3 linked regions of the Drosophila melanogaster genome follow. The protein of the gene in region 3 purifies or fractionates together with the protein of the main gene of each other region. This does not show direct contact. Each region holds a gene or a part of one and is shown on either strand. Other genes may lie near its edges.

Region 1 (6,069 bases), on a different chromosome or scaffold from region 3:
GCAGGAGGCCACCGGCGAGGACGATTCCGATCTGTACTTGGAAGAGCGTGAAGCGGCTCTGGCCGAGGAGCAGTCAAATAAACATCAGATGCAGCGTAATATTCCAGGAATGTTGAATCCGCACGAGTTGCCCGAGGATATGCAGGACGAATAGATGTCGATGTCGATGTCGATGTCACTGAGCTAGAATGTTTTAGTTGATGCTTGAGAATGATAAAAGGATGGTGATGTATGAGTGTTTCTCGAGCGAGAAAGTATAAATGTTTGTTTGATTGAATGCATATAAGTACGTTATATATATAAATACATCCACACAAGACCCACAACACTTGCATACACACACATACACATACACCTATACAGATATAGCTGCGTTAAAAGGTGAATGAGTAAATGGTTATTCGTGCGCAATTACATACATTAATATGATTAACATATTTTTGCGCATTGTCCTCGACATACCAGCATAAATAAGATGCCCAGCCAGTTCCCAACTCCCGCTCCCCTATCCACATTATATAGTTGTAAAACGTCATAATAATACTACACGCAACCGATACGAAAGATGCAAACTTTATTGTACTAATATAAAATAATGTTTGTTTGGAATTTTTTAAATGAGTAATTGTAGAAAGATCCGAGTATGAATGAATATTTGAACAAACACAAACACACCTCTCAGAGAAACCCACACAAAAATGAGCAAAGGAAACAAGAATATTAAGATGAAGAAAACCTTAAAGTAAAAATTTAATTGTAGTGACTTAAACAGATCAGATGCTGGCAGGAGTAAACAAAATTGTATGCAATCTTTTTGCATAAATCTAGCATTAACCCGACGTTGAAGACGATGGACGCCGCAATAAGGAGACGATCAAGAAAGCACGGCATCATAACCAGAATAGAGTTCATGCAATGTGTGAAAAAAAAAGAAAACTAAAACGCAAATACCCAAAACACAAATACATCAAGAAAAACAAAAGTAACCATAGAAATGCGTATTAAATCGTTTAAATTTTTACATAATTAGTTTGTACATTAATTTAAATAAAAATCAATTAAAACTACATTGATGTATGATGCAAAGCCACATTTAAGTTTCAATTGTAACGATTTTGATAGTAATATAGTGTACGTATCTAATCTCGTGGAATTTCGCAATTGATTGAAACATTATTGGATTGATGCCAATCAATTTTGAAAGTTTGGTGGGATATCTGTATATCTGAAATGTTTTCGTTTAATCCTTGAGCAACTAGTGTCAAAAGATTTTTATTTCGAATATTTAAAGTCAATTTTAGAGAAAAGTTTATTAAACGTTTGTTGTGGCAGTTGTATTGAACTATAGGTAGATACAATTATTTAGGTCCCGCTTTTTGAGGCACTGATAATCTGTTGTTATGTAGAAAGAGCGTGTCCTTAGAGTAGCCCTTCCAGGTTTCGAAAATGTCCTGGGAAATAAGCCAGGTGTTGCCAACTGGCGTCACGGGATAAACGTCGTCTTTGTTGCTAAAAGGCAGCTCGATTTCGTGCGAGACTTTCAGCTTGAAAGCGGTACCATTAAAGGGTCGTCCAGCATGGAGAGCCACTGTCACATCTTCCAGGAAGAGTCTCCACCGAGGCCTATAGTAGTCGCTCACCAAGCCGGACCACTGTTTGCACGCATAGTCCAGGATCTGACCATCAGGACCCCAGGCGGTAATTTGGTTTCTCGCATTGAATTCGAAGTTTCTTTGTTGCCCAGTGTTCGGTGCCGCTTGCTTGGCCTGCTGCAGCCAGTTGCCGAGCAGAAAATTCCTGCTGCTCGCCAGGATCAGCTCCATGTCATCGAACAGTTTCAACAGCTTGACGCTAAGGAATTCGAAACGCGAAACCTGTCGCTTTCTATAGGCCGACCTTAGATTGATATACAACTGATCTGCGCTGATCTGCAGGAATTGCCTGGTTATGTCCACCAAATCGTGTTCGTATATCTCGTATCTGTTATCCTCTAGCGGTATGATGGCTCTGAAGGTCAGCAACAAGTGCCAGGCATCCAGCACTGCACTTGCATTGTACCAAGTGAAGGGTTCTTGGTTGAAGGAAGGCCTGCGCGTCACTACATACTGTCCCCGCATTTTCTGCAGACCACGGAAGGAATAGACGCTATTCTTTAGGAGCAGCCACGCCTGCTCCAAACGCTCATCCTTAACGCCATACCGGCTGTGTGAGAAATTCGTAAACCAGCTATCCAGATCTAGGGATGTATTACTCCAGCCGCGCTCCAAGGTGAACGAATACATCACATAGTTCTGGCCAATGCCCTCGGGTGTGATTCCCGTGCCCACCAAACTGCTGTTGGGCAAGCGACGCGCCTCTTCTATTCCGGAATTTATCAGCTTCGCTGATCCAAACATTCCAAGTGTGCCGCCGAAATTGTGAAGCATGCACCATATAAAGGGCTGCCCAAAGTAGGAGCGCGTTAGCTCGTATTGCGGAAACTGTTCGCTCTGCAGATCGAGCACCAAAATGCGACCACGTGGTGCGGCCGTGAGGAAAGCTTCAGCCATGTCCGTGGTCCAAAAGGGATTCTTCACGAACATCCAGCCCTGAAGCAACCAAATGGCCTGAGGATCAATGCCGCGCATAGATTCATAAATCGCCGCCGCCGTTGAACGCATGTATTCCGGCTTGGCTACCGGTGGCTCCAGTTCGTTGAAGGGATCGCAGAAGAAGATGTGATTCGAACCATATTTCGTAATGATATTATGCAAAAAACGCGAGGCTATCTCCTTGAAAAGATTCTCCGTGGGTTCCACAAATAAACCGCAGCAGTATCGATCGGGGAACTGGTTCCATCGCTGCACTTCCATGAACGTCGATTCGGGATTCAGACGCTTCAGAGCACGTGGCACATGACCAGCAAAGGCGGGCAAGGCCACGCTCATGCCCAGATTGCGTTGGGCAGTGATAATCTCCTGCTGGAGGAGTAATTGATAGCGTCGCCATGCCGGTGTCAGTGGTCCCGCCCATCCCCGTATGTTGCCCATGCGCTGCCAGGCCTGAAAAGCTGGTCCAGCCAGATGCTCGTCGATTTCCTCCATCCTGAGGCCCATATCCGTGTACACCTTCACCCAAATGGCTTCCTGGACCGGCGCAATAGTCAGACTGATGCCCATCAGGGCCATCCAGTCCAGGTGACGGCGCCACTGCTCAATGCCCCACCATGCAAAGCTATAGCTCCAAGTGCACACGTTCTGGTGATAGATAATCGGGCTTGCTGACTTGGACTCGATGGTCACATTGGGCAGCTGCAAATTGGTGGGCAACTCAATGCGCATCTTGAACCAATCCACGTCCTTGTTTAAAACATATTTGAGGTAGTGATGGAGGGCCTTGCACACGGAAACACCATCCCATCCCATCAGCAGAATCCGGCCATCATCCAACATGCTAATCTGTAAGGTATTTAAAGATTGAAACATTTGTATTGTTTATTTACTTAAAAGTAAATACTTAATAAATAAATATTATTACCTGAAAGCTTCGTAAATCCATATTTTTATTGACTTGCACCTTAAACAATTGAGAAGATCGTTCGCCGATTACTCTACTGATTACCGCCATGGCTGCGGTTTCCTGGACATCTTTGGGTGTGCTGGGTGCCAAGTGGGCAGCCATTTGGAGTCCCATTTCAGGACCTGAAGCCGCATCCCAGTTAAGTTCTGATCCCTGCGCGAGTTGCAGGCAAAGCACCGCTAGCAAGGCCAAGGCCAGCTTCCAATTCAGCTGCATTTCTCCGTCCGTCTATTTACTGCCGTGTGTGTCAATGTCAACGGGGCCCAAGTGACTGACTGACTGACAGCTTCTCCTTCTCTCGCAATTGGGGCTCTCCCGAAGAATGCGGGAACGGAGGAAAGAGCGCTAAGTGAACCCGATGAGAACACAATGGAAGAGAAGAGCAGCTGGATTCCGATCACTTTCTTCTTATCGCCAGATTGAACAATGACGCAGTAGAGTTCTGAAATGCGAGGGATCATCGGATACACTCACTAAGAGTATATTACAACTTTGATAAGAAGTTTGTAGATCAATTTTTCCCTTATTGAGTTTTAAAAATAATATTAAGTTCTGATTTAAAATTAATTGGTAAGCAATGAAAAGGTAAAAAATATATTATCAACTAAAATAATTGTTTGATATTTATGCAACAAAAAACAAAGAACGTCAGATTTTGGAAACTATACAATTTAGAATGGTATTTAAATGTTGGTCTTCGTCGATATCCTTATATTGTAATCCGTGTTATAATGCATTTGTTAAGAAATTAACTGAAAATCGCAAGGCAAATCCATATATCTCGGAAAATATCAAAAAATATATAGTATATATACAGGGTCATTTGAGCTTTATTGCACGTATTTCGTCTTAGACACTAACAATAATTTAGTTTATGCCGCCGACTAAGCAGCGATTTTAAGTACATGTAAACGAAAGAACATTCATTTCTTCTCGTTCGTGTGAAACGATGAATGCTCAGTGTATATAACTCCTAACAAATTGAATAACAATTCAGCGATATATATATGTAAAAAATTATAAACTCACAGCGGACAATGCAACGCGATGCTTTCTACCATTGTTTTTTTTTTTTTTTTTTTGTTTGGCAACAGAATACAATTTCAAAGCCTTGGCCAACAACAAACGTACGTGTACGTCGATGATGTATCTTCTGGTGCTTATGAGCTACTCTTACCATATCTACCATGTACAATTTTAATGTTAAAAGCCTTTCGTGTTGCTCACTATTTTATATGCACAAAATCAAAAATGACTAGCTCTAAACAGCCGCTGGCAATTACACAAATCAACTAATCGCTAAGTAATGCTATTGTTAATATCCTTAAATACAAGTTATGTACGTATGCAATTCATGTCTATGTGTTTTGGTTTTTTGGCTGTGTGAGTTTACTGTACTGACTACAAAAAACAACCTGGTTATAATATTGTTAATCGTTTGCGTTTTAGCTTGGCGCAGTTGGAAGCAAACATATCTTTGGACAAATCACTCTTCAAATTTCACTTTACCACAATCTCGTGCAGTAAATTCGTTGTGCAACACGTTCTTTTCAACCTCCATAGCTTTTTACTCCCCAATCCGAGAGAGATCCATTTCAATTTTATCATATTCCCTTGAAAATCCATTGAAAATAGTAGGAAAGTTACTTAGCTCCTTCTTAAGTATGCTTTTCAAAATCAAAAGTAACAGCATCACGAAAATTTGTGGGCAAAAAAGTTAAAACGTCATTTGGAAACATTAAAATATTGTATGCTGTATCAATAAAATCCTGTTTGATCCCATGTGTGGTTAATTTTAGTAGTTAATCTCGATATTTTTTAACAAGCTATCCATTTGATCTGCTCAACTTTTAAGTTGCACAGCATGTGTTTTTATACGCTTTCATCTTCATAGTTGGTCAGTTGGTCACTTTAGTTGGTTTACTTTAAATCGAGCATTTAACAATTAGGACCTAACAAATCTTGTGGCCACTGTTCTTTTACTTTTGTACTCTTTCCGATCTGGCTGTTTTTCCTTTCTTCGTGATCTGTTGTCCTCTTTACTTCCCGGCATTATGATTTTTCTTTCAAAAGCTCCTTACATCTTTTTGGTACTCAGATTTGGCACAAATAAATGTGGGGTTAGATCCATTTCGCCAGCGATCTGGTGTCCATTATGCTTTCTGTAAATTCGTTGTGCACTCGCGGTCTCCTCCACCAATCCTATTCCTGCTGCCTCCAATTCACTCACTTATGGAGTAAGCCTTTCGTATGCACTTGCTGTGCCTGGTGATTCTCAGCTCCTCGGCATCGTGCGACGAATGCTGTCGATGCGTCACTGTTTCTGGCAGTTCAGTCGAAGACTTGTTCAACGCGTATGTGCGGATGAAGTCGATGGTTGAATAGCCTTGTGTCCCGGAGCATTCTGTTACCTTCTTCGCCTGCGTATCTCCCGTATCAGCAGAGATGCTATTCAGGCTTTGGGTCTGCATGGGCGGTGGGGGAACGTCCAACGTAGTACCTGCCTCTGGA
Region 2 (6,176 bases), on a different chromosome or scaffold from region 3:
AGCGGACTTTTTTTAAAATTTTTTATTCATTGGTATACTGACGTGTTATCAACAAATTAGAAATGATCTAAGAATCCTTGAAAATGCATTTAAAAATTATGCAGTGTTCTCAAAATTCGACCAAAAGGGTTTTGAAAATACCGCCAAATGCTGTACCTGCACCACAGGGAAATCCATGTTATGAACCGATGTATAGCACTATCATTTCGACGCTAACTTTCAGAATGTATTACACCGTTTACAGAGCGTTTTGCCAAGTGGCCCGGTATCTCAACCTTTTGTTTTTAATTTCATTAACTAGCTGTGAAAGCTTTTGCATTAAGCTATGTAGAGTTTTCCAGGAAGTTGCAATTTCAGAACATATTTCAAAAAGTGTTGTGTGACATGAAATCAGCCTTAAATAACTTTTATATTAAAAGGACATGAATTTAGTTGGATTTTAACAAATATATATATATAAAATACTTAGGTTATTTTTATAATTTGCGTATGTACCTTGCGTACGTATGTGCCTTGCAGCTGAGAATATTTTCTAATGTTGGACAGAAACAGATACAAACAACATTCCCAATAGGGAATTCGCTCTTGATCAACATCTCTAGCCGAGGCGACCTGGCGATGTACTAATGTTAGCATAGACATCAAAGTCTCTGGAACTATATTGGTAGGATGTTAAAACTAATCATGCAAATTCTAGTGACGCCTACTTCGGGCAAGTTTGTTTTATTGTATAACTACGCCACTTTCACTCTAACGTCCACAAGCCACAAAAAACTGGCAAGCCCACAATTTTAAAATGAACTTGTTTTCGATTTCCAATATATGCAATGTATTCATCTAAATATTTTGCAGGAATATAATTTTTTTAATCTTTATTCCACATGTACGCTTCAGAATTGGTTGCTAAAACTGAATAAAGCGAATATCCAGTAATTGGATATCTAATATCCATTATACATTGTCTTTAGCATTCTCCTCTGAGAATAAGTTTTTTTTTCGCATGATTTCAATTGATATTTTTTACAATAACATAATTGTTTATCTCTAATTTAATGAAATAAGTTCGAACGTATCCATTACAGAATCCCTGAAATCTTTATAAGCCGAATATTATTCAGACTAAGAAGTAGCAAGCGTTATTCATAAAGATAACAAATAGCGTTAAAAAATATTGAAATATCTTGCCACATGAAAAACGATCTGTAAATGGTGTAACACATTTAGCAAGTTAACATTGGTATGTTGTTGTACATCGGTTCATGTCACTAATTTGCTTGGTGCGAGTGCTGGAGCTGGCAGTATTTTCAAGTCCCTTTGAGCTGTTCCTACTGTAAGGCGAATTTTCGGAGAGCTGTGCATAATTACTTTATCAATTTTCCAGGATCCTTGCTCTCATAAGCTTTCTCTTTGAGCAACAACAATGTAAACTTAATTTGAAACATGAACCGTCCATTTTAGAACACCCTTAGTCCTAAGTGGATTCCTAAAAATTTTTTTTTATTTTTCTATTACATTATGTATTTAATATATAATTTATATACTTCCAAGACCTAATAAATATTGGGAGTTCCAAATCAAAACATTCTTCGATCGCTACTAACTAAAAATGGTAATTGAATGCTTTGTGTATTTTTAATCCGTTTTTTTAAGCAAAAGATTATTGAGTAATTTTTATAATTTCAACACGTGATAACTTAATATTTCTAAGTAACTTATTTCCTATTTAAAGCAATTGTTGAAATTTAGAGATTTCTTACCTTTTTTAAAATGTCTATAAAAAGGAGATCCAAGCTCTATTTTTCGTGCATAAATTTGTTGTGCATCCCCACAGGAAAAGAACATGTACGCTAGTGGAATCCGGCTGGCTTCATTCAACAAAAAAAAACCTAAAAAACACCTCTTTTGTTATCGCTTGAAGTTCGCTAAACTAATCGCGTTTTCCAACACCATAACCCTTTGTGTCTGCATGATTGTCATCCGCCGGCCACCCCTACTAACGACGAAACCAATCTGATAGTGGCAGCTGGTCATCAACATGGTGGACATAAACTTGGAGTGCGTGCACCAGATCGAACCGAAGACCCGTTCTGCTGGTCAGCAGCAGCAGGAGCGAGGGTTAAAGGAAGCCTACCTGGAAGCGGTCCGCATTCTGTTAGTGCTGCTGGAGAACATCTTGGCGCAGCCGGAGAACTCCATGTTCCGCACCATACGGCAGGAAAACAAAGCTATTAAAGAAAAGCTGCTGTCCTTGCCCGGCTGTGAGAGGTTACTGGAAGCCATAGGCTTCGTACGCGCCCCCAGTTCCAACGCCTACACCTTGCCCACAGAGGTGTCACTGCAGCAGGTGAAGAAGTACAGAGATGCGCTGAGCGAGAGACGCACTGCCTGGCTTAACGGCACAGTGTCAAAAAGTAAGCTTTGGGGGCAAGACTGACATCCTAATCATCATGTCTCGGATTTTAATAGGTCCTCCTCAACAAAGCACCACCAGCACCACGCCCTTGTTCATCAAGCCTTCTGTGGAATATCGCCATAGAATCGCCTTCCCCCGTGTATTGGTAAGCCAGCCATCGAACAAGATAGACCTCTGCTGTATTCTGATGTGGAAGCTTGTTTTCAGCGCACCAATAATAACTTTCTGCAGTCGCTAGAGCTTTATTCCGATGCAGTCATGCAGTACGAGGATAACCTGCTGCTGGCTACTGGCCGCACTCTGATTCCTGTGGAAGAGCTCACCGAAATGGCAAGCGAGAAACTGATAGACATCCAAGATCAAATTGCGTCGGGTGAGCGCCAGGAGAAGGAGCCATGTGTTCGCGACTTGCTGCTTGTGGAGCTGGTAAACTGGTTCAACACGCAGTTCTTCCAGTGGGTAAACAATATACCTTGCCGCGTGTGTGGGAGTGAAGAGAGCAGGCTGCGCCGCACTGAACGGGAAGGTGATATAAGGGTGGAAGTCACCGTTTGCTGCGGCCAGGAGAGCAAGTTCTACCGCTATAACGACATTTCCCAGCTCCTAGTTTCCCGTAAGGGCCGTTGCGGAGAATATGCCAATTGCTTCACATTCCTCTGTCGCGCCCTCGACTACGACGCCCGTATTGTCCACTCGCATTTTGATCACGTCTGGACCGAGGTGTACTCCGAGGCCCAGATGCGTTGGCTCCATGTTGACCCCTCCGAGAACGTTATAGATTCTCCGCTGATGTATCAGCATGGCTGGAAACGTCACATCGACTACATTCTTGCATACTCTAGGGACGACATCCAAGATGTGACTTGGCGCTATACTAATGACCACCAGAAGATTCTACACCTACGAAAGCTGTGCGGGGAAAAAGAAATGGTGCAAACGCTGGACGCGATTCGAGCAAAGCGGCGGCAAAATTGCACCGCCGATCGAAAGTTATTCCTCAGCCAGCGCAATATGTACGAGGTCATCGGCTTGACGCTAGAGCGGTAAGCATTTACAGGAAACTGTTCGAAATTAAATTTAATCCCGTTTCCTGTTTAGTAAGCCGACAGAAAACGAGCTGAAGGGTCGGAGTTCGGGAAGTCTTTCTTGGCGGCAGTCACGTGGAGAGCATACTTTTACCAATGTAAGTGATCTGGCCTGAGACGCGCTGCCGGCCGTTTGTCACCTTTCATGTATTTACAGATATTCGTTTTCAATCTAAGTGCAACCGAACTACAAAAAAGGCAACTTAATGTGCGTTACAGCTGTGCCACCGATACATACGAACGATATGCCAAAGGCGAGTCATGAATTTATTTACAGCACTATGAATGCTTTTAACTTTTATATCCATAGAAGGAGAACACATCACTATTTTGGATAGCTATAAGACATGGCAAAAAGCGCAATTTTCCTCAAAGAACATATTTCGGAAAGTGGAACGCGATTGGAAAATGGCATATTTGGCTAGACTGGAGGATACCGATTGCGGAGAAATTGCCTGGACGTTTGATTTCAGCAAGACCAATTTAAAGGTTAAGTCTTACAACTTAGTTTTCGAGACAAAAACTTTTGGCGACGGAAAAATCAGCGTGACTGTCGATGCCACCGACGGAAGCGCTTCGGTTGAAAATGCCACTGGATTCAAAATAGTGGCCAAACTTACGGGTGGCAAGGGCGATGTAGCATGGCAACACACACAACTGTTCAGGCAGAGTCTTAATTCAAGAGACTATCCCTTCGATCTGCAAGTGCAACTACATTGAAGTCCTCAAAAAATATTTTGGAGAAATTAAAATGTAATTGTAAATAATATAAACGATTCCCAGTCTGGATGAAAATATAATAATCAAAAATGTATATTAAAAATTAAATAAAGGCACATAGTGTCGCTATATGTAATTATACTTGAAGTTTTAAGGACTAACTTTTATGAAATTTCTATATATATAGAACAAGCGCATGGAAACAGTTAATACAAAATATAAGGTTCTTAGATTTGGGTTGCAGTTAATTAAAATATGAATGACAAATTTAGAAACGACATTTAAACTTTATTTTCTTCTATATGTCAATATTTATTTCATCCGGAATCAAAGCAATAAATAATTTTATTGGTCACAATTGCTGGGACGATTTTTCAAGATTTACATATATAGATGAAAAAAGGCAAGACAATTAAAAAGACTAGATCGACTCGGCTAGTGATCCTGATAAAGAATTCATATACTTTGTATATTTTGCTTACAACTAACGGGTATACAAATAGATATCATATGTAGGTATTCAGCGATTTTCAGAGAACCGCGCAGTGATTTTGCCATTTTACATCACCAAAAAGTCATTCGATTATTGCCTGCCCTTTATGAATATCGGTATATTAAAATTTTTCGAAACATGTTTTTCGCTAATCATCTACAACAAAATGCGCATATATATATGAATCTTAAAATTTGGTTGAAACATCAAAACATTTTTGTGTAGAATATACATATATACAAAACTAATGTTACATATATTCTTTTAGCTGTATGGCATTTATCATTGGTACCATTACACTAAATTAGAGTTAGCAAACGGTCATACCTAATTTATTGGTAAGAATGGGTCATTATATTGGTATTGAGAAAAAATAACTGTTTTTATTTTATAATAACATTAAAACGTTAATTTTTAGTACAATAAAAGTTAAAAAATTTCAAGGGCACACGGTTTAACATTTTACATGCGATGACCGTTCTTAAAAAATCGACCAAAATAAAAAAAAGTTTTTCATATTTTCAGGTTCTGGTTACCGAAAATAGTTTTCCTTTAACAATTCCGACCCCAGACTAATTTTTTTTTAATATTTAGCCTCACACTTTTACCGCCTCTTTAGTTTGTGAGCTACCTCTCGATTGTTATATTAAGCTAAGATCGGACAACCATCGCAAATTTTCATTTCTTCGTATATATCACCTTCTTCTGGTACGCTTCGTCACTACGTGGACCAGACGCTATGTGCTATATACTATGTACATACATCTATCCATGTGCTATTTACATATATATTAATTTTGATATTTAATGGCGTGTCTTAGATTTAAGATCTATGGTCAAATATAATCTCCAAAAACGTACTTAGAGGTAAGAGTGCTAGTGACAGATGGAATTTGGCGGTCTCTAAAATAAAGTTTAATAATTATTTATGGGGTCATATATAAACACGTGGAGTTTCTTACTTGGATTGCATTTTAACCACTTGACGCACATTCATCATTATGGTGTCGATGTCTGAAGTCTTCCCCGATCGATTAAGAGCTTCACACAGTGTCTGAATAAAAGGAGTTCCGTCCTCCGTGCGAAAAGATACAAATCCCTCGTACGTGCTATAGCACTTGAGGATTTCATTTGGAGACCCATTGGGCTGCGCGGCATCGGTCATAAAGCCCCCTAGTTGGCAGTCGCCCTTGCAGGCCTGAACGAAAATCAGCTTGGGCTTGTCCTTAAGCGTCCTATTGCGCAAAATGGGAAAAACAACGTCGTCGTCCAGGGAGTAGTCGTCATCCTTTGCTGCGATCTGGTCGTGGCGCGTTCCATGACTGAGGATCACGAGGACCAGAGCGCTTTTGTCCTCAAAGTCCTTGGTTTGCACTGCAAAATTTAAAAATTAATTGATTAAGCCGAGAAACTACACTTCTCCTCTTACACATTCGCACTGTTTTTTTAATGGTGACCAGGGTTG
Region 3 (9,079 bases):
AATGACCTCAAGATGCTGAAACCAACCGTAATGCCGGCAGTGCCTCGTCTTTTGAACCGCGTCTACGACAAGATTCAGAATGATATCTCAGCGTCTGGACTGAAGAGGGGTCTCTTCAATATGGCTATGCGAGCGAAGGAGAAGGAGATCGCCAGGGGTGTCCTGCGGAGGAACGGCTGCTGGGACAAGTTGGTCTTCAAGAAGGTGCATCAGGCCTTTGGCGGAAATCTTCGTTTAATGGTCGTGGGCTCCGCCCCATTGGCCGGAAATGTCCTGACCTTCATGCGCTGTGCTCTGGGCTGCCTGGTTCTCGAGGGATATGGCCAAACGGAGTGCACGGGGGCCATTACCCTTACCGTTCAGGGAGATCATGTGCCCAACCATGTGGGACCACCCGTGTCCTGCAATGCTGTGAAACTGGTGGATGTGCCGGAGATGGAGTACTTTGCCAATCAAAATACTGGCGAGGTGTGTGTGCGCGGATCGAATGTGTTCCATGGGTAGGTAAAGCTAATATGAATATTCCACTTTTGTTTAATCCATTGAATTGTTGTGTGAATAGTTACTATAAGGATCCCGAAAAGACGGCGGAGGCCATCGATTCGGAGGGCTGGCATCATACGGGCGATGTGGGCATGTGGCTGCCAAATGGAACACTACGGATCATCGATCGCCGCAAGCACATCTTCAAGCTTAGCCAGGGCGAGTACATAGTGCCCGAGAAGATCGAGAATATCTACACGCTCAGTCAATACGTAAATCAAGTTTATGTCTATGGAGAGAGCTTAAAGGTAAGACCGAAATTGTATTATATATGTACATATTTACCAAATTCTTTCAGAGCTGCATTATCGCTGTTGTTGTACCTGATACCGATGTACTGAAGCAATGGGCCACGGAGAACAATGTACGCGGCACACTCTCCGTCCTGTGCAATAATAAGAATGTCAAGGAACTGATCATGAACGACATGCTCAACTGGGGCAAGCAGAGTGGACTCAAGTCATTCGAACAGGTGAGCTTTTGAATCAGCATACCTATAGGTTTCGAGATAATATCCGGGATATTTAATTTTAGGTTAAAGATATCTATCTGCATCCGGATCCCTTCTCGGTGCAAAACGGACTGCTGACGCCCACATTCAAAGCCAAGAGACCGCAGCTTAAGAGCTATTTTAAGCCCCAGCTGGAGGATATGTATAAACACCTGGATTAAAGCAATGCCTATATGCATACATAGACATCAACAACGAATCGAACTCAAGAAACTGGGAAGCATTCATTCAAATATGCCTATACCATTTTAAACTGATGATAACAAAGACTACAGATACAGATACGAAAGCGAACTGTCTAATTTTGTAGTATCGTCAATTCTTAGCACGTAAGAGGAGCGCAAGATACACCAGATACAGATACAATACACATAAAATATACACAACTTCAAACTGACAAGGAGAATCCTTTTGGCAGCCGCATTTTTTTATATAATTTAACCGAGAAGCGAACCTTAATTAATATATTAACTATATATTTCCCTTTAAACACTTATGAGCTAGTTCAAAAGTGGATAGAAAACAATTGCGTAGTCTGAACCAAAACATATATAATAACATATTGAGCAAATTGAATAAAAAGAAAGCTTTAATTAACTATTGTATACTACACTCAGCGCTAGATGGAAACTAAAGTGAAGAATCAAATTTTTAACTATATATTAGATACGCTAAAACTAAATTAATGGGAATGAAATGTTCATCGCAAATGCTGAGGAATTACTTTTAACTTACAAATGAACGCCAATCGAGAAGCAGATCAAACCTAATAATAAATATGGAAAAGATCAACGTCTTTGGACTGCACTGTCTGCCTTACTAAATACCAAATGAAAATTTATTAATAAATTGCTAAAATAATGAACTATTTCATATTAAGAGCTAAACAATAAAGTAAAGCAGCATTGTATTAAATTTATTAAATAGATTCTTTATGTAGATACGAAAGCAAGTTAACTCAAAATAATATGAAATAAAACCAACAAAAATACAAATTGAAATACTGAGATTTTTGAAAACTTTATTTGAATTTGGCGTTGCCACCTAACGCACATACGCAGTCACCAAAGCTTTTCGAGGGGGTAAAGTGGCCTGACCATCCCAAATAAATGGTTAATAAAATACGCTGAATTAATTACTATTTACTCCAACTTTTAATACATTTGACAATCTTCAACTTAAAGGCGCGTATTTAGTATGATGACATTTAATTTCGGCTTAACTTAATTAGTAGCTCTTGGAATGCAAGACAAGAAAATCGTTCGAAATCGAGTTACAAAACACAATTCAGACTTTAGTGAGCTGTTTTCTTTTTGAGTTGGGTTTACGTTATCAATCGCATTATGTTCTAATTAAAATGTACAAATGTGTTTAGTCGTTATTTCGGAGATGGCTCTTAGCTAAGTAATCAAGTGTTTATCCATCGATATTTAAATTCACTAAACATGTTGATTTAACTACGCGTTCATCACAGCTCGCCGTGCTTGGGCTCATGAGAAGGCGTCACAGTGGTGACCTCCACCGAATCGTCAACCGAATCATCAACTGCCGAGTCCCTGCTATGCGAATTCTCATGATCCTCGATGCGAGACATCAGGGTCTTCAGCTCGGCATCGTAGTCCTTCCATTCGGGCACAATCCTCTGGGCGGCCGTGAGTTTGGCCTCCTTGGTCTGCGGGTTGTTGCACAAATCAATCACTTTAGCAGTCTTGAAGTTGCTGTCGCTGCACCACGTTTGGCACCATAGCCAGTCGTCGGGCAGGGATTTGATGGCGACCTGGTGGATCATGTTGTTGGGCAAGTCCTGATCCAAATTGGATAAGCTGTTCGGATCCTGGCTAAGTGCCTGGTATTGGCCTCTTAGCCTATCTCCTGCCGCAATCTTGCGGAATCTCTTCAAGTCCACCACGTACAAGGCGGAAATGTGGTAACGCCTGCCCATCAGATGGCTTCGCCAGTATCCCTGCTTCCAGAATCGGAAGCCCTCCATCTCTTTGCGGGAATCGCAGAATGGCGTGTAGGCATAGGGTGCTCCTCCGAGGTCCATGTCATACAACTCCTTTATATCCGTTCTTACGATGGCATCGGCATCCACGAAAATGATTTTCCTCACATTCAGCGGGAAGAGCACGTCCAGGAAAAGGATCTTGTAGCCCCAAATGGTCCTCTGTTTTTCCGTTTGCTGATGCAGCCAGCGGGGCCATTTGTACTGGACCAATTCGTACTGGAAGTTGTACTCACTGGCCATGTGAGGAAGGAAATCCGTAAATTGCGGCGAAAGATAGTTCTTCAAGAACCAGAACTTCACAGGTGATTTTGTGTGCTTTAGCAGCGAAACCATCATGATCCTTAGAAGACGTTCGTACAAGTGTCCCGATGCCACAGAGAAAATGTTGATGGTTTCCGTATCCTCATCAGTGGCTGCTTGGTTGGCACTGCCGCCGCCAAAACTGCTGGCGATGCTGTTCCACATGCCTGATTGCGCTGCCTGTTCGTTGTCATCTGACAGGAGTTCCGCCTGCTGCATGCCTGGCTTCTTAGACACCCTTAATTTGACAACATGGGATCGCAAGGAGGTTATAAGAACCTGAACTTCAGAAGAGCCAGCCGAATGATGGGTATTTGTTCCTTCAATGTGGCTGATTGCATAAATATCCGCCGATTTGCCTTCACGCAAGCGTAGGGACCAAGCTCCTGGATTGGCTTTAAGTTGGAAATAACCCAAATTCGCCATCACAATAGTATCTACCAAGGTAGGTTGACTCTGGGTACCCAACACCAACTGAAGTCCTCTGGGCGGAGCGCCGCTAGCAGCATCAAAGCAGTGACCCTCCAACAGCAGATACTCCAGATCGAATTCGCTGTGCACAGGTCCACCAATATCGGTCAACTTAATGTTGTCCAGATCGTAAACTGCTCTCACAGCTTCGACCAACCAGTTCTCGGGAACCTGCAGCTGCTGGGTCAGCAGAGGATTGGCTGGCAATCCACTGAATTTGGCCAAAGGACCATCAGATCGGCCTCCATTCGCCTCGAATTGGACCTCCGGTTCCACAACGTATCTGTAGAAGTTCTTCACGGGCATATCGCTGTGCTGGGGGACGGGAATCAGGTATAAGTTCAATTGGCAGTTCAGCACTTGACGAAGCAAAATAAGTATTGGCGTTAGTTTTTGAGCTGCTCGGGAGGCGGGATCCAAAACGGCGGCAACATCAAAATGGGGAAGATTCTCCTGTTTGGGCGGTAGTTTTACAACCGAGTGATCGGTTTTTAAGTCCGTTGGTAGCTTAAAGCGAGTTTTGGTTTGCCTGGGAAGCAGGCTGGCATACAACTTAAGCAATGTATCGCTGTTGAATTCCTCATTGACATCTTGAGCAGATTCCTTCAGGACCTGACGCACCTTATCGCTATACTGTAGAGAACTGAACCTGGCTAGCAAAGCGAAATCGGCGCTATCAAAGCTTTCATCCGACGAAAGGGGCCCATAAAGCCGCCCATTACCGATGACCAAACGCTGGGATTTATTTAGACCCAACACTCGCTGGGAATAAACTCTCAACATCTTCAGGTGCAGCTCTGTAGATCCCAGGATATCCTCGAGCTGAGTGGGTATCTCAATTTTCTCCTTTGGTTTCTTTAGCCACTTGAGAACCTGCTCCGTGGCTTGAGTTGGTGGAAGACTCTGCATGGCAGCCCAAACCAATCGATTAAGATTCCTCCGGCTTGAGGCGGAAGAGCTTTCAGTGTTTGGAATGAATGCGACTCGCACACTCTCTCCACTTTGGACATAGTCCAGGGCATGGGTGAGCAGATCTCGACCCTGGTCAGTTTCCAAATCAGCAAACACCCAAATCGTTAGGAACTGTAGGGATGCTCGGCCAATAAGCTCCGTAGACTTCTTGCCACCAAAGTATTTAAGATTATCCATTAGCGTAGCGGTCATATCCCGGTTAGACAGACGATTTAAAACTCCAACATTGCCAAGATTTTTGTAGGCCACGCCGTTAATATCAAGATATTTCACATCCTCCTGGCTTAGGATTCGCTGATTCAATCTGGGCATCACGTGAGGTTGATTCATCAGATAATCAATGGCTACATCGTTGTCTGTCAGTTCACCTTTGTACACAGCCTTTTGGAGATTGCTGGTGTGGGTCATAATCTCGGTGAAAATAGCCTCCTCGAAGTCGCTATCGGCGGTCACAACGTTGCTGGGCATTGGAACACCATTCAACAAGGCCTGAGGTTGTCCCTTGTCTCCGAATCCCAGCCGCTGAATGAACTCTGCTGCGAGCTCCCTGCCATAGTCGTACGTGGAATCTTCCTCCAGGAACTCCTCCGCTTTGGCAAAGCTTAATGATGTAAATTCCTTCGTTAGTTGCTTGACTATGTCTTTTTTCGTGACCACTTTGGTCTCACCAACTGCTGCGTAGATGTCGGTGAGGAAACTTAAAGCAGCTCGGGCATCCTTTTTCTGACTCACATAGTTATAGGCGCACGTGATGGCTACGTAATCTGCAAGATTATCCTCGTTGGCGTCCCTCGCATCGAAAACCAAACCCAAGCGAATGGGAGCTTGATGGATGACAAACGACTCTGACAGTTTAATAACACTTCTAGCTGTGGGCTGCAGCGCGTCTACCACTAGGACCAAATTGAACACATTCTTTCGGATATTCCTTAACATGCCAGGAAAGGTTGGACGCAAAAGATCCATCACCGATGAGGGCCACCTGCGGTACTGCACATCGTTTTCAATATCGTTGACCCACTGTACTGCAGTGTCACGGATGTCGATGGCGAATTCTTTTTTGCTGGAGGCCGTCAGATCCAAGGCGAGCAAGGAGCTGGCAAGGCTTCCCCTCACATTATTACTGTGCAGACTCTCGAGAACACGCATCTCCGAGCGCAGCGTCTCAATCAGGGAATACAGATCCATTGTGTCAGCATCGAAGAAGAGTCCATTGATGAAAAGGGCACCATCTGGAGGCGCTACATTCAAGCTTCTTCCAAATGCTTCCGTATTATGCTTTACCTCCGCCCTTAAGCCATCCGTAACCTTGTGGGCCAGCAGGGTTCTGGCCAACATGGGGAAATTATGGGCAGTATATTGAAGAATTTGTAGGGTTTCATCACCCTGTATTTCTGCAATAGCAGCGGCCGCCTGGAGACCCAAATCCTGGAACTCCCATGCTTTCAATTGGGCGATCTCATCGTTTCCCTGAAGAAGCCTCTGACGCAGTTGATCCAGCGCTCTCTTAAGTGTAGGATGCTTCTGCTTCAGCACCTTGAAATCAAAGCCCTGGACGTCCGATTCATTAGCCAAATCCTCATCAGAAGTGGAACCAGCTTCGGGCTTTGGAGCATCATCCTGACTCTTGTATTCCGTTGACTTCAGATGGAGTTCCACTCCATAGCCCGAAAGTCGTACCGGTCGCTTGTCCTTCTTGGCCAATTGATGACGCAAGATGTAACGAATCCGGCCAGCATTGGCTTCCTTTTCCAATAGTTTGTGATAGGTGCGGAATTGAGAGCTTCCCAAATCGCCGTATAGTACCACAGTGCGGGTATTGTTCTCACTGCCAGGGAAAATGTGATCAAAGCTGTAGGTGACAACAGAAGCATCCAAGCTATCCTTGGCGAGCGGCACTTCCAGCTTCTTCTGCAGCTCGTTAAAGCTGCAGGCCAGTTCGGAACCCACCTGGGCAAAAGTAAAGCTCTGACAAGAGCCACTGCTCCTCAGTTCCTCGGCCAACTGGAAGTGGGTCTGGATCCGGGGCGTCAAGCTATGCATGGATACCACCAGCCTAAGCAGGGGCAATTGGGGAGAACTCACATGGCTCTTGACCAGCTCCAAGGCGGCATTGTACTGTTGCGACTCGGTATCTGAAAAGCGAAAACGTAATCAGAAAAATAAATTACCCTTTGGGAAAAGATCACATTATAGGGCTTTGGGAATAGGTGATTTTATATTCCGAACCATTACTTGATTTTATATGGATTCGATTCACATTGAGGAGAATATAAAAGCTCTTTAATGCGGGTTCTCCATGACTTATAAACACAAACCATATTCGTTGAGAACCGTGTCCAACTTGGTCACCCCCGAAACGTAATCCCAGAAGAGGCCCGCCTGCTCATCGGCCAGATACTCGGCGATTTCCAGATATAGGGGCGTCTGCGTCCATTTCGCGTTGATTAGCGTGGTGATGGGATAGCTCTGACTGGATTCCCCAGAAGTTGGCGTATATAGTGCTATGAGCACCACAGACACACACAAAGCCACGGCACGTAACATGGTTTCCACTTGTTTTAACGTAGATTAAACCACGCACATTACGTATACTAAGCGTAGAGAGGAACTTAAGGCTTTCCTTCTCCAAATATTTTACTTTTCACCAGTTTTCGGCTGGTTTTAGCCCAGTTTTTCTTAATTTGATTTAGAACTGATGTGGCGTTCGTTGATGAACCGGCATGCCGCAGTGTGACCAGACTACATTGGAACTACATCGGGTTGAAGAACTTATTTAAATTTATTTATTTTACGGACAATTGTCAATATGGAAATATTTTGCTTTAAATTATAAAAGAAATTATTGAAATATAAAAATAGTACATACTTACTTCAAAATGCATAAATGGGTAACTAAATTCCTTTGTTGGTATTTTTCATACCTGTTGTGCGACTACTATCACTCTAATTTGTTTGTTTACAAATTTCAGCGCGAATTTCGCGACCAAAAACATAGTGCAAATATTGCCAATGAAATACACTTTAGAGGGCAGCAATGCAAGAGGTACCACATAATAAACAGCAAAATATATTGATAACTAAAAGAATTCATTTTTTAAGTCATCGCCAAAGCCGTACAATCGCTGTCCAAGGTGGGCAAGGAGATGTTCATCGAGATCGACCAGCAATCCTTGCAGATGCGGGCCATAAATGCCACCCAATCCGCAGTGGGCAGCATATCGTTCAAAAGATCCATGTTCGAAGTGTATGACATGCCGCCGCACTCAGATTTCTACTGCAAGATCTCCATGAAGGGATGTTTGGCCGTGTTCCGCAACATGAATGAGGTAAGTTCGAAAGTCTGCTCACTGGGATTAGTTGTTAAGAATATTATGTTCCAGGTGGAGTACTGTGAACTCAACTTGCTGGACAACCAGACCAACCTGCAGGTGAATCTCCGCTGTAAGCTGGAGACCACAAAGGAGGCCACCATTTCCATCATAGACGACCAAAACATTAACACAAACATTAACACCGATCAGATGCCGAATATGTGAGTTTTGGTTTGTGTTAAGGATAACTATTAAGTTTATCTCCTTACCTTATTTCTCTTAAAACAACTATGCCCATATAAATCCGAATTTACTACTCAACATTTCAGAATCCGTGGCGATCACAAGCTGTTGACGGATATATCCAATAACTTTAACTCCTCAGAGGAGGAACTTACTTTGGAGGCAAACTCGGGCAGTGTGGTGGCCAAAAACTACATAGAAGGAGCCCGAGTTAATGATAAGTTCATGCGCACGCAGCTGAAACTTAAGCCCAGTGAATTTGAGCAGTACCAGGTAACGAAGGAGACGGTCATTACATTCTGCATTAAGGAATTCCGAGCATTTCTCCTCTTCGCCGAGTGCTTAAATGCTTCGCTGACCCTGGAGTTCGACGAAGCGGGCATGCCTTTCCTGCTCAAAATTAAGAAGCATGGCGAGATTGAATGCTTGCTGATCATGTCCACGCTATCCCCCGATGATATAAGCTTCTCGGAAGATTATTGTCAAAAGGATCTGACAGTGCAGGATGAGGATGTACGAGCGGCGGCCGCAAAGCGAAAGAGCAGCGTTTCGAAGCCGAATGTGACCAACAAACGCAAAGGCAGCTCTTCGGAACCGGCTGCAGTGCAGCCAAAACGGCGAGTTGAGGAGACCCAATTAGAATCGAGCCTAGATAATCCACTGTTTCAGTTCCGGGACTCGGAGGCGCCATCTGTTCAGCACCCTCGCATCCTAGCC

The links. The genes of interacting proteins can lie anywhere in the genome.
Region 1: the proteins of Uggt (region 3) and Naglu purify together in Drosophila melanogaster (affinity purification with mass spectrometry, with the first as the bait; one large-scale study listed by BioGRID). This does not show direct contact.
Region 2: the proteins of Uggt (region 3) and Pngl purify together in Drosophila melanogaster (affinity purification with mass spectrometry, with the first as the bait; one large-scale study listed by BioGRID). This does not show direct contact.

The regions. Positions count from the first base shown.
Region 1 is NT_033779.5:8,407,771-8,413,839, forward strand, and holds Naglu (N-acetyl-alpha-glucosaminidase), read right to left. Parts: upstream 4,099-6,069; 5' UTR 3,775-4,098; coding exon 3,517-3,774; intron 3,438-3,516; coding exon 1,359-3,437; 3' UTR 1,279-1,358; downstream 1-1,278. Other genes in the region: emb (embargoed), read left to right, coding at 5-154; CG13398 (uncharacterized protein), read right to left, coding at 5,781-6,069.
Region 2 is NT_033778.4:6,015,798-6,021,973, forward strand, and holds Pngl (PNGase-like), read left to right. Parts: upstream 1-1,941; 5' UTR 1,942-2,035; coding exon 2,036-2,411; intron 2,412-2,466; coding exon 2,467-2,558; intron 2,559-2,620; coding exon 2,621-3,456; intron 3,457-3,511; coding exon 3,512-3,596; intron 3,597-3,655; coding exon 3,656-3,752; intron 3,753-3,808; coding exon 3,809-4,218; 3' UTR 4,219-4,898; downstream 4,899-6,176. Other genes in the region: Strica (Ser/Thr-rich caspase), read right to left, coding at 5,548-5,614, 5,674-6,085, 6,141-6,176. UniProt on the Drosophila melanogaster protein: Specifically deglycosylates the denatured form of N-linked glycoproteins in the cytoplasm and assists their proteasome-mediated degradation. Cleaves the beta-aspartyl-glucosamine (GlcNAc) of the glycan and the amide side chain of Asn, converting Asn to Asp.
Region 3 is NT_037436.4:18,871,223-18,880,301, reverse strand, and holds Uggt (UDP-glucose-glycoprotein glucosyltransferase), read right to left. Parts: upstream 7,556-9,079; 5' UTR 7,353-7,555; coding exon 7,124-7,352; intron 6,941-7,123; coding exon 2,523-6,940; 3' UTR 2,057-2,522; downstream 1-2,056. Other genes in the region: CG3961 (uncharacterized protein), read left to right, coding at 1-500, 563-791, 842-1,015, 1,078-1,215; Rad9, read left to right, coding at 7,818-7,851, 7,908-8,134, 8,189-8,340, 8,449-9,079. UniProt on the Drosophila melanogaster protein: Recognizes glycoproteins with minor folding defects. Reglucosylates single N-glycans near the misfolded part of the protein, thus providing quality control for protein folding in the endoplasmic reticulum.